Linked DNA regions of Elephas maximus indicus. The protein of the gene in region 2 binds, or shares a complex with, the protein of the main gene of each other region. Links are inferred from orthologs where the notes say so. Each region holds a gene or a part of one and is shown on either strand. Other genes may lie near its edges.

Evidence for each region.
Region 1: the proteins of PLEKHM2 (region 2) and ARL8B are in contact, whole or in part, in a crystal structure (PDB 8JCA), measured with the Homo sapiens proteins. The link is inferred for Elephas maximus indicus from reciprocal best matches to the Homo sapiens genes PLEKHM2 and ARL8B. Residues at the interface, in NP_055979.2 of Homo sapiens: His70, Phe71, Thr72, Arg73, Arg74, Glu75, Glu103, Ser105, Glu107, Ser108, Tyr109, Arg111, Leu112, Glu115, Glu147, Phe148; in NP_060654.1 of Homo sapiens: Glu22, Thr52, Val53, Gly54, Phe55, Asn56, Met57, Lys68, Trp70, Arg77, Phe78, Arg84, Tyr85, Arg87, Gly88, Val89.

Annotation. Positions count from the first base shown.
Region 1 is NC_064838.1:29,413,638-29,421,951, forward strand, and holds the start of ARL8B (ADP-ribosylation factor-like protein 8B), read left to right. Parts: upstream 1-4,848; 5' UTR 4,849-5,061; coding exon 5,062-5,184; intron 5,185-8,314. UniProt on the Homo sapiens protein: Small GTPase which cycles between active GTP-bound and inactive GDP-bound states.
Region 2 is NC_064821.1:55,427,159-55,435,287, reverse strand, and holds the start of PLEKHM2 (pleckstrin homology domain-containing family M member 2), read right to left. Parts: upstream 3,692-8,129; 5' UTR 3,578-3,691; coding exon 3,518-3,577; intron 1-3,517. UniProt on the Homo sapiens protein: Plays a role in lysosomes movement and localization at the cell periphery acting as an effector of ARL8B.

The DNA.
Region 1 (8,314 bases), on a different chromosome or scaffold from region 2:
CCAATGAGAAATTCTGGCTCCTTGCCTGACTTGGCTGAGTACAGTAATGTCCTGTGGATAAGGCCCATGTGTTGTCATTTTAAGATGCTATTAGGCTGATAATCAGGCCAGTGGGACCATATGGAATGTGTCACACCCATTTTACTCTTTCGTCCAAACTATCATCACCTTGGAAACGCTGGTGGCATAGTGGTTGAGAGCTACGGCTGCTAATCAAAAGGTCTACAGTTTGAATCCATCAGGCGCTCCTTGGAAACTCTATGGGGCAGTTCTACTCGGTCGTATAGGGTCTCTGTGAGTCAGAATTGACTCGACGGCAACAGGTTTGGGTTTTTTTTATTATCACCTTCGACAAGTGTAAAGGTAACCAAAGAGATGCCCGAGAGACCAGATTTCCAGGTCCCCAAGCTGAATGACTCATTTACTGAAAACGACTTTATTGAGTTAAGTAGAAATGGTTCCTGTTCCTAAGGAGATTACAGTTTTAAATCCTGTCCCGGTAATACTCTCTCCCTCTGTGAATCAATTTTCCCATAGGTGAAACTAGAATGTTCTTCAAAGATTTGTCCAGCTCCAATGGCACAGAACATTACCTTTCTTATATAAACAGCCACACAGCAAATACGTGGGTCAGTCTTATCTCTTGCCCCTGTCTTCGCCATCTACCTTCCCAGAGCCCTAACTTTTACACAGGACGTGTGAATGGGTCCATGTGTTTGAGCGTGTGATCCTGGATTCCTAGCCTTTTGACTAATTCTTGACAAAGTTCAAAGGGAACAGTGCACCCACAGGACTTTGTACACTATTGAACTGACTTCAGTGGAAAATGCCTTATCAGTGAAAATATCAAATAAAGCTGATCTCCTCACTCGTATTTTACAAATGAGAAACCAAGCATCTGAATTGTTATCCAATTGTCTAGAGTCATTTTGCTCCAGAAACAGCAACTAACATTTAAAAAACCCGAGCCATCAAGTCGATAGGACAGAGTAGAACTGCCCTATCAGGTTTCCAAGGAGCAGCTGGTAATTCAAATTGCCAACCTTTTGGTCAGCAACTGAGCTCTTAAGCACTGTGCCACCAGGGCTCCATGTGTTAATACTGTGCCAGACAAGAATATAAGAGCTGTATGTGGACTCGTTCATTTACTCCTCACAATAACCCTTTGAGGCAGATAACAATGTTATCCCCCTCTTCAGGAAATGGAAGCACAGAGAGGTTAAGCAAGTTAAACAGTTCACATAGCTGATAGGTGGAGAAACAGTCAATCTACCTATGTAGCCTGTATTCAGTAAATATACCTTTCTGCTTTTCATCACTTTCATTAATCTAAGTTAACTTTATTTTATTTAATCCTCATTTTAACGCAATGAATTAGATATTATCAACGGTGTGCTGTTAAATGTCTAACAGCCTGTTCTCTGGGGAGCCCTGATTTAGTGTTTGCCAATTTCTGTAGTGTAAATACTCACACCATGACCAATTTCAAGCTACAACATGACATCCCTGAATACAGAATTGGGGAGATACTTAATAACTCTCCTTTATATAGTATTTACACCACTGTCTTAGTTACCCAGTGCTGCCCTAAACAAAATATATCACAAGTGGGTGGCTTTAAAGGACAGGAATTAATCTCACAGTTCTGGAGGCTTAAAGTCCAAATGCGGGTCTCAGCAGTGTCGACTCCGTCTGTGAGCCTGTCTTCTAGTCTCCGGTGTCTGCTGGCAATCGTTGGTGTTCCTTTGCTTGTGGATAATCTTTACCTGCTGTCTGTCCTGTGCATATGTGTGTCTTTGTGTCTATTCTGCCCTTTTTATAAGACACAGATTAGAAGTGTCTGGCATGATCTGATTAACATAACAAAAGAAAAACCTTAATTCCAAACAGAGTCCCATTCATAGGTACGGGGGCCTGGAATTCAACGCGTATTTTATGGGGACACACAATTCAATCCACGACAACCTTACAGATACGACACCTGTAAACAGCTTTAAGGGCATAGATAATAACAAAATAATTAGAAAGTGAAGAATTTTGAATATTAATCGCCTTTCTTTTCTATAAATAACCGTAAGTTCAGTGAACAAAGGAAGCTACAGAGAAATGTCTACAAAATGTTCCTACTTTTGTATATAGGAGAAACTTCCCTGCCCCATATACATGTATAAGTGTTCAGTTGATTGACAAAAGCTGTTAAAATTCATTTCCTCAGAGCTGGGGGACTGAGCACACAAGGAGACAGACTATTACCCTTTCCTTATTACACCTCTGGATTGTTTGTTTTTTTTAATAAACAATATATTGTGCTTTTGTGATAAAAATGAATTTATGAATTCTTTTGTTCTTTTTTTTTTAAGTGAGAAACTAGAATTAGGAGGGGAGGATGGCTTTTCCATTAACTAGGCATTTTAGAAGTGACGTTAACTACAATGATTGTGAAGGCTGAGGAATGTCCAATTCCTTATTTTGAAACGAACTTATTTCTTCACTTGTTCATCTGTTTACTTGTCCCTCTGAGACAGCAGACATCTAAGTGCCTCCTAGAGGTGGTCCCAGGAGCTGCCATCACTCCCTTAAACCAGTAGTTTCCTGAGCCATTTCACTGCTTCTGCTCTTGTCCTCCCACAGTCAATTTACCGCAGAGCCTCCAAAGGGAACTTCTCCAAACATAAATTAGATCACTCTCCTGGCTTCCCATCACACCATGCTCTACTTCATCTGGTTCCTTCCTCTTTCTCCATCCTCATCTCTTCCCACTCCCTGCCTTACTAATCTGTGCCAGCCATACTGTCTTTCTGTTTCTAGAATATTCCACGCTTCTTCTGCCTTCAGGTCTTTACCCTTCCACCACATGCCTGCCTATCTCTCTTCCTCAGCTCATCTAGGTCTCCACGTCCAGGGCCACCTTCTCTGAGGGGTTTACTCTGACCCTAAGTGGAACAGGGTCCACTCCTTTCCTCTTTGTCTCCTTCTCCTGTTCCGTTTCCTTTAGAGTACTCATTATTACCTGTGTTAGAGCTTATATTTATTTATTTATTGTATTGTATGTCTTCCCTGCTACAATGTAAGCTTCACAAGAGCAGGGATTTTAATTTGAAAATCTTGAAGATATTTTTATTTACTTTTTAATTAAATTAAATTTTTGAACAAGCAGCTGATTTACATGGTTAAAAAATCAAAATGGTATAAAACATTGTTCAGAGAAGTCTCATTCCTATTCCTGCCCCTTGCCCATCTGATTCCCCCATCCACATAGGAAACTATTTTCGTTAGTCTTTTGTTTATCCTTCTAGTACTTATTTATGCAAATATAAACACATATATATGAATATATTTATGTTTATATACGTAAAAGAACATATATATGTTTTGTTAGGTGCTGTTGAGTCAATTTTGACTCATAGAGACTCCATGTAACGGCGTAGAACTGTCCCATAGAGTTTTCTTGGCTGTAATCTTTATGCAAGGAAATTGTCAAATCTTTCTCCTGTGAAGCTGCTGGGTGGGTTGGAACTGACAACCTTTGGGTTAGCAGCTGAGTGCTTAACCATCAGGGCTCCTTGAATATATATATATATTCTCACTTTCTATGTTATGCCAAAAGTATACTATGTACATAGTTAGCATCTTGCTTTTTTGTCTCTTGAAAATATTTCCTGGAAATTATTCCATATAAATCCACAGAAAACTTTCTCTCTCTCTCTTTTTTTTTTTTTTACAGCTACATAATATTCCATTTTGGGGATATACCATAGTTTATTTAATCTGCTCTTGACTGATAAACACTTGCGGTTTCCCATCTTTTGCTACTACCAACAATTCAGGACAAGTTTTTTTTTTTTTTTTGTCATTTTTATTTTACAGTTTGTAAGTAATTCCGATTTTAATAATGTTTTATAGACCATATAGTGATCTCTCTCTCATATGTGTGTGTGTTTGTGTGTTTTAGGTGAAAGTTTACAGAGCAAATTTGTTTCCCATTCAACAAATTGTACAGGAAGTGTCCCATGACATTGGTTGCAATCCTCACACTTTGTCAACACTCTCCCCTTTTCTGCCCTGGGTTCCCCATTTCCTTTTACTTGCTTTTCCTACCCCTTCCTGCCTTGTCATCTTTACTTTTGGTCAAATGTTGCCCTTTTGGTCTCCTATAATTGATCTATGGGCAGGTTCTTTTCAGGTGTTACTGTTTATTTTATGGGCCTATTGCTTGGCTGGAAGGTGGTTTCCAGGAATGGCTACAGGTTCAAGTCAGAAGGTTAATTTAGGGCCATGGTCTCGGGAGTTCCTCCAGTCTCTATCAGGCCAGCAAGGCTGGCCTTTTTCATGAATTCTATTTTTTGTTCTACATTTTTCTCCCACTCTGTCCTGAACCCTGTATTGTGATCCCCATCAGAGTGGTTGGTAGTGGTAGCTGGGCACCATCTAGTTCTTCTAGTCTCGGAGTGGTGTTGTGTAAGCTGTAGTGCATAGGGTCTGTTAGTCCTTTGTACTGATTTCTCTCTTGAGTCTTTGGTTTTCTTCACTCTCCTTTACTCTTGGCAGGAAGAGACCACTAGTTGCATATGACAAGGATTTTTACTTTGTGCTAAATCCCCCAAAATCTTGAAGTCTTCCTGCACAGCGTAGAGGCTCAATGAACAATTGTAGAATGAATGAATGAATGTGTGAACGAAGGTTGAATGATCCAACGATGAACCAGCAAACGAGCGACGGTAGAAAGGGAGCTGCAACGCGCCCCGTCGGCGTGGTGTGCTGCAGAAATGGTCCACCAGGTGGCGGTGCAGGCGGCGGGCGTCCCGGGCCGGCGGGCCACGCCGCTCTTGCCGTGAACGCCGGCGGCGGCGCGGGGACGGCCGTGGGGGAGGACGAGTCATATGACTCTCTCGGCTTCCTGGCTCCGGCCGCCGCCGCCCGCCCGTGTCCGCCCGCGTCGTGCCGGGGCCCCGAGGAGCCGTTGGGGGGTCCGGGCCGTGGCCCTCTCGTGTGGAAGCCGCCGCAGCCGCCGCCGCCGCCGCCCACCTGCCCACCCGTCCGTCTTCCCTCCCGGCCGCCATCATGCTGGCGCTCATCTCCCGCCTGCTGGACTGGTTCCGCTCGCTCTTCTGGAAGGAGGAGATGGAGCTGACGCTCGTGGGGCTGCAGTACTCGGGGAAGACCACCTTCGTCAATGTCATCGCGGTGAGCGCCCGCCGCTGTGTCCGCCTGGGACGCCGCCGCCCGTGAGCCCAGCCCAGCGCCTCGTCGAAGGCCGCGAGTTGGGGCCCCCCTCCGCGCGGTGGAGCCCCCCTCCGCGCGGTGGGGCCCCCCTCCCCGCCGTGGGGCTCCCCTCCGCGCCGTGGGGCATGTGGGGGCGGGGGTGCCGAGCCCGACCTGTCACCTCCCCAGGGGTGAGCGTGCGGAGCGTCCCGCGTTGTGGCGGCAGAGCCGGAGCGCCCAGCTCGGCGGCTGGAGGGTTAATTGGATTTAGCTGTCGTGCTCGAAGGGCTGTGCCCTCCACGCGGTTGCGGCTTGGAAAGGGTTAAATTGGGCGTGTTAGCTTTTTAAAGTGTTTGGGGTTGGGGCTTCTCTTGGGTTAGGTTTGTAGGGGCAGCCGAAGGGTTCACGCCAGCCTGCCACTGTCCCCGAAAGGTGGGATTTGGCGAGTCTCTTAGCTCTGTGAGAGAGCTGAGATTTGAACTTTAAGTTGCCACTTGGGACGAAGAGTCCCTTTAGGAGGATGGCAGGAGACCGGTGTGGGCTTCTTGAATTCTGTGGGCGGCCGTTTCCTTCTAGTTCTCTAAATCGCCCTCTTCATCACTTCTTTTTCCTAGTTCCCCTCCCACCCTCTGCCCCCCGGGGGCCGAGATCTAGCTGCTGGCAGCGCTCACTGGTCCTTTCCGGGGAGGGACAGCGCCCGCGTGTCCACAGTGGTCCACAGTGTTTATTAAGCTAAGGAGTTAGCGGCCCCTGCTTTTCAGGAGCAAGGAGATAAAGTCGATTTGCAGTCAGCATAAAGCCAGCAAAAAGAAGAGCTATCTTTTGAGGGTGTTTCACTTTTAAAGAGAAGGAATGGCAGGAACATAGCTTATTCCAGGTTCAGGGAGTGGGTGTCCAGGAGGGAGATGACCCTGGGAGTTTGTAATGTGGTGTTTACTAAAAAATGACTGAGTGGAAGAATGAGTTTAAGTTTTATTTGTTTGGTGGGGGGGGGGGGGAGGGAAATAGGCTTTATTTAGAGCGCAGGAGTTGGTGTGACTCAACCTTAGCTGATTGGGGCTTCTACATGCCAGGGATGAGCTTTAGAACAGTTTTAAAGAGAGATGGCAGCATTCTTCTGCCACTTTGTAGATGACTGTGTAATCCTTATTTAACAGGAGACTAGCTGTCCGACTGGTTTGGTTACAGGAATGATTCAAACATGGCTCTCTTGTTGGAGAAAATAGGTAACTTGTGAGCTTAAATTTTGCAGTAATAGAGCAAAAGCAGTGAGTAAGAAGAATTGGAGAAAAAGAGATGAACAGAAATGCAAACTTCCTTTGCAGAATGTAGTCTATAAGTATAGAGAAAATGTTTGTTGAGTCTTATTGTAATATTATTTTCCCCTCGCCTCCCCCCATCCCCGTTTGAATGAGTGTCTTTTCAGTAAGTATAAAAGAGTGTGAAATGTGTATCTAATGCCACTGAAATTAATGAGGGAAAGCAAACTTTAGGCTACGTATCCATATTAGAACTGTTATATGACGTGGAAAAGATGAGGCTTTATTTAGCTTGAGTGAAGTGAGCTCAGTTAAGCGTAAATTTTCTGATATTCCCTTGAGATAAGAATTGGAGTCACTTTGTAAATCCTGTCCCTTTGGTAAGATTGAATTAATTTGTATTGTAGATAGGTGTATTACTACAATGGTTATATTTGTGGTAGAGAAATAGTTATGATTGGGAAACATAAAAGAGTAAATCTTTGAGAAACTTCTGGTTGATTTCCATGCTATGTTTTCAGTACATAGTGCATAATGAGCGTGAACTTTGAAGTTAGGCAACTCCGGGTTTGAAATCTGGCTCTGCCACTTGGCAACCTTATATCCTTTGAATCTGTGCTCTCCTGTCTGTTAAATGGGGATAATAGTATGTTCCCTACAGTGTTTCTCCGGGAATTAAATGGAATGACAGATACAAGTTCCTAGCACAATGCCTGCCCATAGAAGGGGTTAGGTAAATGGAAACTGTTATTATTTGTAATGGGTACAGTCCTTTAATGCAGAAACAGTGTTTGAAATTTATTGAGGAGAGTCTCAGCTGGGATTATTTCCTTCTTTGAATCTACGTAGTATCCAAACATGGGCTGCCGTAGTGGATTTGTGTATTATGGCAAGCAGTCACATCGAATCTTACGCAGTATTTTAACATTAAGCTGTATTCTGTTTGAATTGTAGTAGTTTGTTAGGTTCTCTTAAAAAAAATCTGGACTGCAGCTAGCTGGGACCTTTCAGATGCTGGAAAAAAAAGGAGACCTCAGTAAATTTCATACCTTTTTTTTCCTTTTCAACCTCTGACTCTAATCTAATCTGTGATTCTTTCAGAATATATTGAGAGTGGGGAAAAGGTTAGTGATTAAAGATGATTTTATAGACTTTTAGACAGACACAGTGTGTCCTGAACAGTAGATTTAGCCTTACCTTAAAAAACAAAACAACCTGACTATTCTTCGTGTTTGTATAAAGTGTTCGGTCTGTTGACTCAGAGAAATGCAGTTCTGTTGAGCACTAAGTCATTTTCTGAAGTTGGCCATTTATTCAAATTCAGCAAGTAACTTTGGAGGCATGAAAGGCTTCAGGTGAAGCCATTTGTGTTTTTGTAAAAATTAAAATGTTGCTAGATCTTCCTTCAAAGTTAAGAAAAATTTAATAGATGTCATTTACCTTACTCAAAATGTTTGTGAGACTGAAATACTTATATGCAGAATTTGGACCAATTTTAAAAGATTAGGCAGCTTCATTACAGAGAGGTTCAATCTTAAGAAAATGTATATTGTTGTAGTTTTAAAATTGAAATGACACCGTATCTTAGCTAATATTTTATATAGAGACAATCGCTATATGTAGTGTTTTCTTTAGGACATTTTACAAAAGAAATATTCCTGGTCACTATTGCTAAGCATTGTGACAGTTGTTGTGTAAGAAGTCTTCTCCCCTGTATGTGTAATGTATGTTGGGTAATCTTTCTTTTCAACTGGGACTGTTAGATGGATTATAGTGTAGCTGGTTTTAAGAAATATTTAAAAGGATTTGGCAAAACATTATGAGGTAAATTTTATAGAAATTGTATAATTTTG
Region 2 (8,129 bases):
TTTTTTCATGCAACGTCCTTAGGAAAGAACCAGTAAGACCATTTTACTAGTGGTAGGATGGAAGAAAAAGGCAAAGCAACTCTCAAGGTGCCGTATAACCAACAGATTTAGCTGAGATTGGTGTTCAAGGACAAACCTAGCCCCACACCATCAACAGCTACTGCTCTGGCGAAATTTACAGATTCCCCCTAGAAATAGAATCAACACCCATGGAAGCCACCCAAAAAAAAAAAAAAAAAACCCACTGCCATCGAGTCGATTCTGACTCATAGCGACCCTATATAACAGAGTAGAACTGTCCCATAGAGTTTCCAAGGAGCACCTGGCAGATTTGAACTGCTGACCTCTTGGTTAGCAGCCGTAGCACTTAACCACTAAGCCACCAGGGTTTCCCCATGGAAGCAGCAGTCAAGAAATCAAAGGATGCACTGCACTGGGCAAATCTGCTGGAAAATACCTCTTTAAAGTGTTAAAAAGGAAAGATGTCACCTTGAAGACTAAAGAGTGCCTGACCCAAGCCAGGGTGTTTTCAATTGCCTCATATGCATGTGAAAGCTGGATGATGAATAAATGAGGAAGACTGAAGAAGAGCTGACATCTGTGAATTGCGGTGTTGGAGAAGAATAATGAGTGTATCATGGACTGCCAAAAGAAGTACAGCCAGAATGCCCCTCGGAAGCAAGGATGGCAAGACTTCATCTCACATACTTTGGACATGTTATCAGGAGGGATCAGTCCCTGGACAAAGACACCATGCTTCATAAAGCAGAAGGTCAGCAAAGAAGAAGAAGATCCTCAACGAGATGGACTGACCCAACGGCTACAATGGGCTCAAGCATAGCAACAATCGTCCAGATGGCGCAGGACTGGGCAGTGTTTCATTCTGCTGTACATAGGGTCACTGTGAGTCGGAACATTAGAAGCTGCTACTCTGACTCAGAAAAACAAATGAATTCCATGATGCAAGAATTATATCATAGTTCCCTGAAACACAGCAGACAAAGGAAGTGGCTAACAGGTCCAAATGATGTTGTAAAACCACCTTTAGGTGGCGAGGCACTTGAGACATTTTCAGACCCTGTCAAAGTCAGGAGTTGGTTCTGCCACAAACAAACAAAAAAGCTACCACTTATTAAGGCTGGGCCAGGCATCATGCTAAACACTCGGCATACATAATTTCACGTAATCCTCACAACAATCCTAACGATATCCCTGCTTTATCGATAAGGAAACTGAGGCATGGAGAGGTTAAAGAACCTGCCCAAAGTTACAGGGTTATTAATGAGCAGGGCGGGGATTCAATCCAAGCAGTCATACTCCAGAATTCATGTCCTTAACACTGATGCTAGTCATGCCTTTGGTTATGAAGTAACCAGGAATAGGCTTCCAGTTTCTAGTGTGCAATTATATTTTTGAGGTGCATTATACTCGCTGTCGTCAAGTCGATTCCGACTCAAAGCAACCCTATAGGGCAGAGTAGAACTGCCCCATAGAGTTTCCAAGGAGCACTTGGTGGATTTGAACTGCCGACCTTTTGGTTAGCAGCCATAGCACTTAACCACTATGCCACCAAGGTTTCCATTACAGCTCAATAAAACGTGTTTGTCCAAACACAGGCAATTGTAAGTATTTTGACAAATACACTCAACTCTTTCAATTGTGGTGTTGGCGAAGAATGTCAAATATACCACGGACTGCCAAAAGAACGAACAAATCTGTCTTGGAACAAGTACAACCAGAATGCTCCTTAGAAGTAAGGATGGTGAGACTGCATCTTACATACTTTGGACATGTTGTCAGGAGGGATCAGTCCCTGGAGAAGGACATCATGCTTGGCAGAGTACAGGGTCAGCGGAAAAGAGAAAGACCCTCAACGAGGTGGATTGACACAGTGGCTGCAACAATGAGCTCAAGCATAACAATGATTGTAAGGATGGCTCAGGATTGGGCAGTGTTGCGTTCTGCTGTGCATAGGGTCGCTATGAGTCGGAACCAACTCGACAGCACCTAACAACAACAACAACTTTCATAAGTGAGAGCCTGATTTGAAGTATGGGTCTCTGCTTTCAAAAGATCTGTGTTTACACAGGGGACAGAGTATCTATGCTCGCCACCTCTTCACTGGGGACTTTCTCCATCCATTTGTTTCAAATCCAAAGACAAGATGCAAAGACAGGTCAACCTGTCTGAAGCCACAATCAGCCCAGATTAGATTAGAAAGGTCAGCAGTCTTCCTTTCTCTTCCATTATGACAGTTGTATTGCTTTTTAACAAAGCACTTGCTTATCCTGCGCTCCTGGAGTAAGCAAAAACTATATCCTATTGCATGAGCAAACCTCAGGAAAACTAAATAAACAAAACTCTTGTTGGATCTTTGCAAGGGTCCCTTTAGCTGTGCTTTTAGAAGAATGTTTTAGTAAGAACATTTTGGATCTACTTTTCTTTTTAAGGTACAATTATCTCCATGAAACGTAAAATTGCTTGCCTATGTTATTTTTGAGGAATTTAAGTGGGGACAAAGAACAATTATTTAAATATAATGGTGAGAATTAATTTTCTTCACTTTGGTTTGCTGAAGTAGTAAAACACAAGCTATGAGTCTTTTTTCCACCTCTAAATCATTTTTTCAACATTCTTTATCTGACTCTCAATTCTGGTTTGGCCATTTGAGTTGTAAGTGAATATGAATTCTATCTTCTAGCATGAGATTGTTTCAGATAAGCTCACTTCATCAGGAATACAGTTACATGCCCTGAGATGTAATCGTTGCTACCTGGATTTGGGGAAATGATCTCTACTGCAGCTGGCCCCACAGGGCCAAGTGTCTGTGGTGTCACCAAGCTCCATGGATCACCATCCAAAATGCAATTCCCAAGTACCTCGGCTTCTCAAACAAAGTTCTGAAACAAGCCTCTTCAAAACTGCCATCCTTGAGCAAGATTATTCAGGGAACTTCTCAGGATCAAAGGCAATGTCTCCAGAACACAGAGCTGGGAGAACTGTTAGTTGCCTATCAACCTGCCTTCATCCTGTCAGCCACCTTTAGAGATGAACCCGGAGGAAATCCGGAGATGCAGTGGATTCCGCCCCGGGATGCGCTGACAGTTGAGGTCCTCCTAGGAGCTTTTCTGGAGATGCTGCTGGTTGAGTGGGGGGCACTGGTGGGTTACCCGCTCCTCTCCTCTAAGGCAGGGGCCCCGGGCCTGGCTTTTGAAGGAGCTGAGGATGCTGACCTTAACTTTGTTCTTTAAAAACAGCTCGGAGACCGCGGCGCTCACGTGAGTGGCCTGCTTCCCCTCAGGCCCGAGGCTCCCGGCGGCTCCTCGCCCCCAGGGTCGCGGAAGGGAAGGGCAGTGTCCCCGAGCCCCGCTGACAGACGGGACCCCCGGCCCGGGCACAGACTGGGAGGGAAGAAGGGGCGCTGAATGCGGTCGGGAGCCCGGGCAGGGCGGGCCAGCCTGGGACCTGGGGCCTGGGACGGAGAACAGGCCACGGCGGGCGCCGCGGCCGCGCTCACCTTCTTCACTGACAGCGAGATGTTCTCCAGGATCCGGTCCTTCACCTCTCGCGGCTCCATGGCGCCGCCGCCGCCCCGCCGCCTCTTCCCGCGCCGGGGGCCCGGGGCCGCCGCCAACCGCTGCCGCCGGCCGTGCGGGGACTCCGTCGTGCCGGCCGCGGGGCCCGGCGCCCGCCGCCCGGCCCTTGCCTCGCCCGGCCCCTCGCTCCGCCGTGGCCCGGCGGCTCCGGAGCGCGGCCGGCGGAGAAGGAGGCCGCGGGCTGTGCGCGGCGGCGGCGGCGGCAGGAACTGATGTCAGGCGGGGCGGCGCCAAGACCGGCGGTCGCGTCTGGGACGCCCGCGCAGCGCCCGCGCCCAGGCGACTCCGGGGACTTTGAGACCCCCTACCACTCGGGTCCCCCGCCCCTGCCGGCCAGGACCCTGGAGACTCCCTACGGCCCTCCAGCCCTCAGACCAGACGCTCGGCTTCCCGGCCCTCCTCGAACCAGAGACCTCGGAGAAACCTTCAGCTCACAGATGGTGCTCTCAACCCAGATACCCGGCCGGATGCCCCCCTAAACCCATAGACCCTAGCCTCCCGGCCCTCCTCAACTTAGACACCTTGGAGACTCCCTCGGTCCACAGACTGCAGCCCCCAAGCCCAGAACCCCCCAGGCCATGCCACCTCAGAGATTCCCTTGAAATCGCAGCCTCCCAGTCTCATCAGCCCAGAAATCCAGGCCCTGGAGCTTTCACCGACCTGGAGACCCAGAACCTGGCCATTTCCTGCTGAAAGAACCGGGCCTTGGCCTTAAGCAGCTCAGAGACCCTAGCACCCCCACCCAGCCCTGACTACAGACTCCAGCCCTCCGGCTTTCCCGGCCCCCGCTCCCCGCCGCCCTCGCCAGCCTCTGCACTCCACAATTCCTCACTCTCACTGCCCAGTCCTAAACGTTTAGGCCACCTCAGGTCTTCGGTATCCCTCTCTACCTCCAAAACATACCCTCTTCACTTCCGCCCTCGGTCCAAACACCACTTCCTACTCCTACCTTTACCCCACTTCAGCATCACATACCTGAGGTCCTCAACTACCTCAGCCTTGGAAATCCACCATTCCAACTCCCCTTATTTCCACACACACCTCTCCTCAAATTCGTCATCTCTTAAATCCCCTACATTTGGAGTTCTCTGTCTCCTGCCTGGCTTATTTATTTGGTTCCCAAATATATTCCTGATACACCCTTTAGTCCTCCCTTTTTATTCCTTGGCACCCCAACTCTCAACTCCTCATGTCCTCCCTTTCCTCTGCTCAGGCTACCCCATCCCTGAATCTCCCAGACACAGTCACAGTGCATTTGAAACACTGATTCTACAGCTCATCCAAGATGGACCCCACTCACACACACCTGAAACATTCCTCCCCATCCCTCAGTTTTGTTTTTATGTGACTGGATAAGGGGACAAAATAACCTCAGGAAAAGGAAAGAGAACAATTATTTGAAAAGCTGAGATTGATGCCTTCTATTACCACCTCAGGACCTAGGGCAAGAGTTCTTAATAATGATGATGACAATAATAAGTGTTGAGTATTAACTATGTGCCACACACTGAATAAAATGCTTCACATACATTTATCTCATGTACTCCTTATACAACTATTCTCATACAGATAAAGAAAATGAGGACCGGGGATGAGAGGCTAAATCATTTGCCTAAAATCATATAACAAGTAGTGGAGCCAAGATACCAGATACCACCCCAGAAAATCCTACTCCAGAAACCATTTGTATCCTTTTCTGGCCTAGGGACTCCCTTGCATTTTTTGTATACTATTCTAGGAGGTGCCCCTTATAGGGATTTGGTCTCACCATTTAGGAGAAGCAGCAAGGTCTCTGTAGCAATGAAACCTAGTACCCAGGGCATTTTCTTATTTATACTGAGTTCAGGAAAGTAAGAGACTACCTTTGTGGGGTTGCCATGGTCAGAATTGGCTCAACGGCAATGGGTTTGGTATGTGTGTGTAGCTAGGCAGAGGGTAAACTAAGAACAAGGGGATCCAGGCTGCAGTCACTGGACAGGTAGAGAAAAGGCTGAGGGAAGTGGACCAGTTTGAATGAGGAAAGAAATGGCCAGATGTCCAAAGGTGTTTGTGCTAAGTAGGAGGAAAGCCGGCTTGAATGACTAGTCTGATAACTTTGGTGCACTTCCTTCCCACTCCACCCAAGCCAGGGTGCTTACAGGCCCCAACCTGCCTGACATGGCCCCATCTCATGAGAATCTATTCTGCCCAAATCTGAACCAAAGAACTTGGTGATCCTTCTCTGCTGTGGAGTAGCAAGCCATCTTCTGCTGAGTGCCATCTACTGCTGGGAACCATCTTCCTACACATGGCTGCTCGTGACTCAGACATATGGCAGGTTCAACAGGTGTTGTTATTGCTTGGCTGTATATTTGGGTGTCTACCTGATCCACAGTGTAAGAAGACATGGTATCCCTGCCATATTGTTTTCAATTTCACCCATTGGGAGATGGTCACATTGAACTTTTTACAATGTTCAGGAGGCACATACAGTTTCACTGCCTATCAAATTTCTAAGGTTTGCATAGGTATGTGAGTGAGTGGCATAGATGTTTTAGTTCTAAGGAGACTTCTTGCAGGGGAGCGTAGGGGGCCAAGTGTGTGTTTTGATGTGCAGATAACTGCACCATGCCCACAGCTCAAATATGGAATCTATCCTGCCTGTCAAAAGCAGAGTGACCCTGAAAAGAAAAAACAAAAACAAAAACCAGGAAGCCTATCAATCCTTTTACTGGGAGTCGTTTAAACTCAAAATTGAAGCTCATTCATTTATTGCACAAGAATGTTGATCATGTGGAAAGTACATGAGACGCTGAGTCAAAGGGCATGAAGAGTCAAAAGCCTGAACTGACTCACACTTCACACTAGGGCCTCAGGCAAGTTACTCTGCCTTAGTTTCTAAATCAATGATGCAGGAAAAATGATTTTGTTCTTGGTTTTTGTTTTCTCCACAATATTGTCCTCACCTAAGTCTCATACTGCTGAACTCCATCAAATGAGGGAAGAAGTTGGAAAGGAAGGCAAGACCAGAGAAAGGGGCACCAGATCTCCTTTACTCTTTTTTCCAAATATTGTATACCGCCTCAGAGAGGAAAAAGGTAGGGAAAAATTCCAGTGGCATCATCCTGCCATACCCCTAAAAAGTCACTGGAGAGGATTGTTTTTTTTTAAAAAAAAAAAGTAGGGCATGGTTTAGGGACTAATATCCTCCCACCCCCACCCCAACTCAAGGAGAATATATTTGTTTCCAGAGGAGGGAGTAAATATTTCCTTGGTCATTGTGAAGTTGTTTGATCCCCATCTGAAGAGGCGATGATAGAAGGGTTGTACAAAACAGCAACGGCCCAGGTTCTCACACCTTAGCTCCAGCACCTAGAAGTGCAGATAATCTACAACTCTAAAAAAACTAGAACAAGACAGCTTTAATCTAGCTGATTTAAAAGTCTCCAACAGCTCCTGTCATCGCATTTGGAATAAAGTCTATACTCTTTTTCTGGCCTACAAGGCCATAGCTGATCTATCCAGCCTCCCTCTCTGACTCATCGTCTAGTCTCTCTGTTGGGTGTGTGCCAGTCCACAAGCTTTGTTCACATCTGAGGACCTTTGCTGGGAATGCTCTTCTTCAGTGTGCCTGAAACCTCTAACTGTTCACCAAAATCTACTGTCTCTTCCCACAGTGCTAGACTATACTTCCCAGCCTCCTTTGCAGCAGGCATGGCTATACGATTGAGTTCTCTCTATGATATGTGAACAGAAGTGAAGCTATTCATTTACAGGCTGGGCTTCTAAGTGAGTGGGTATTCCTTCTCCATATTTCTTCTTCCATCAACTGGGAAGAAGCAAAGAGGATGTCAGAGTTACAAGATGTAAAGAGCCCGGTTCCCTGAATCATTGCATGAAACAGCTGCTTGTCAAGTAGGAACACCTGCCTTGGACTATAAGATAGGTACGATATCAACTTTTGTTGTAATAAACCATTGACATTTTGGGAGCTCTTTGTTGTCAGCTTAGCCTAACCTAGTACATCCCAGATGCTCACCTGGAAGGAGCTTTCTCGTCACTCTGTTCTCAATTTAAATGTTACCTTCCCAGAGAGAACTTTCCCCACGATTACTCAACATTAAGTAGCCCCTAGTCCCTTCCGGCATGTCAATTTTCTAAATTTTCATCATAGAACTTATCACTTCATGGCATTTTCTTATTTATTGTCACTCTCCAAAAAGACTGCTATAATGTAATCTCCATGGGAATAGACTCCTTTGTTCAGCTCATTCAATGTATCTACAGCACCAACAGTGTCTGGCACATAGTACTCAATGTTTATTGAATGAATATCTTCAGATTAATTTTTAACTCATTTGGGATTCAGAGAATTTTTTAGCTGGCTCTAGAAGTAAATGGCAGGAGAAAGATGTGGCAGTCTGCTTCCATAAATATTTACAGCCTTGGAAACCCTATGGGGCAGCTCTACTCCTATAGGGTTTTGGCTTTTGTTTAGAAGTAAAAGGACAAAAAGAGATGTAAGGCTACTTCTCTTTGCACCTGATTTGGGCC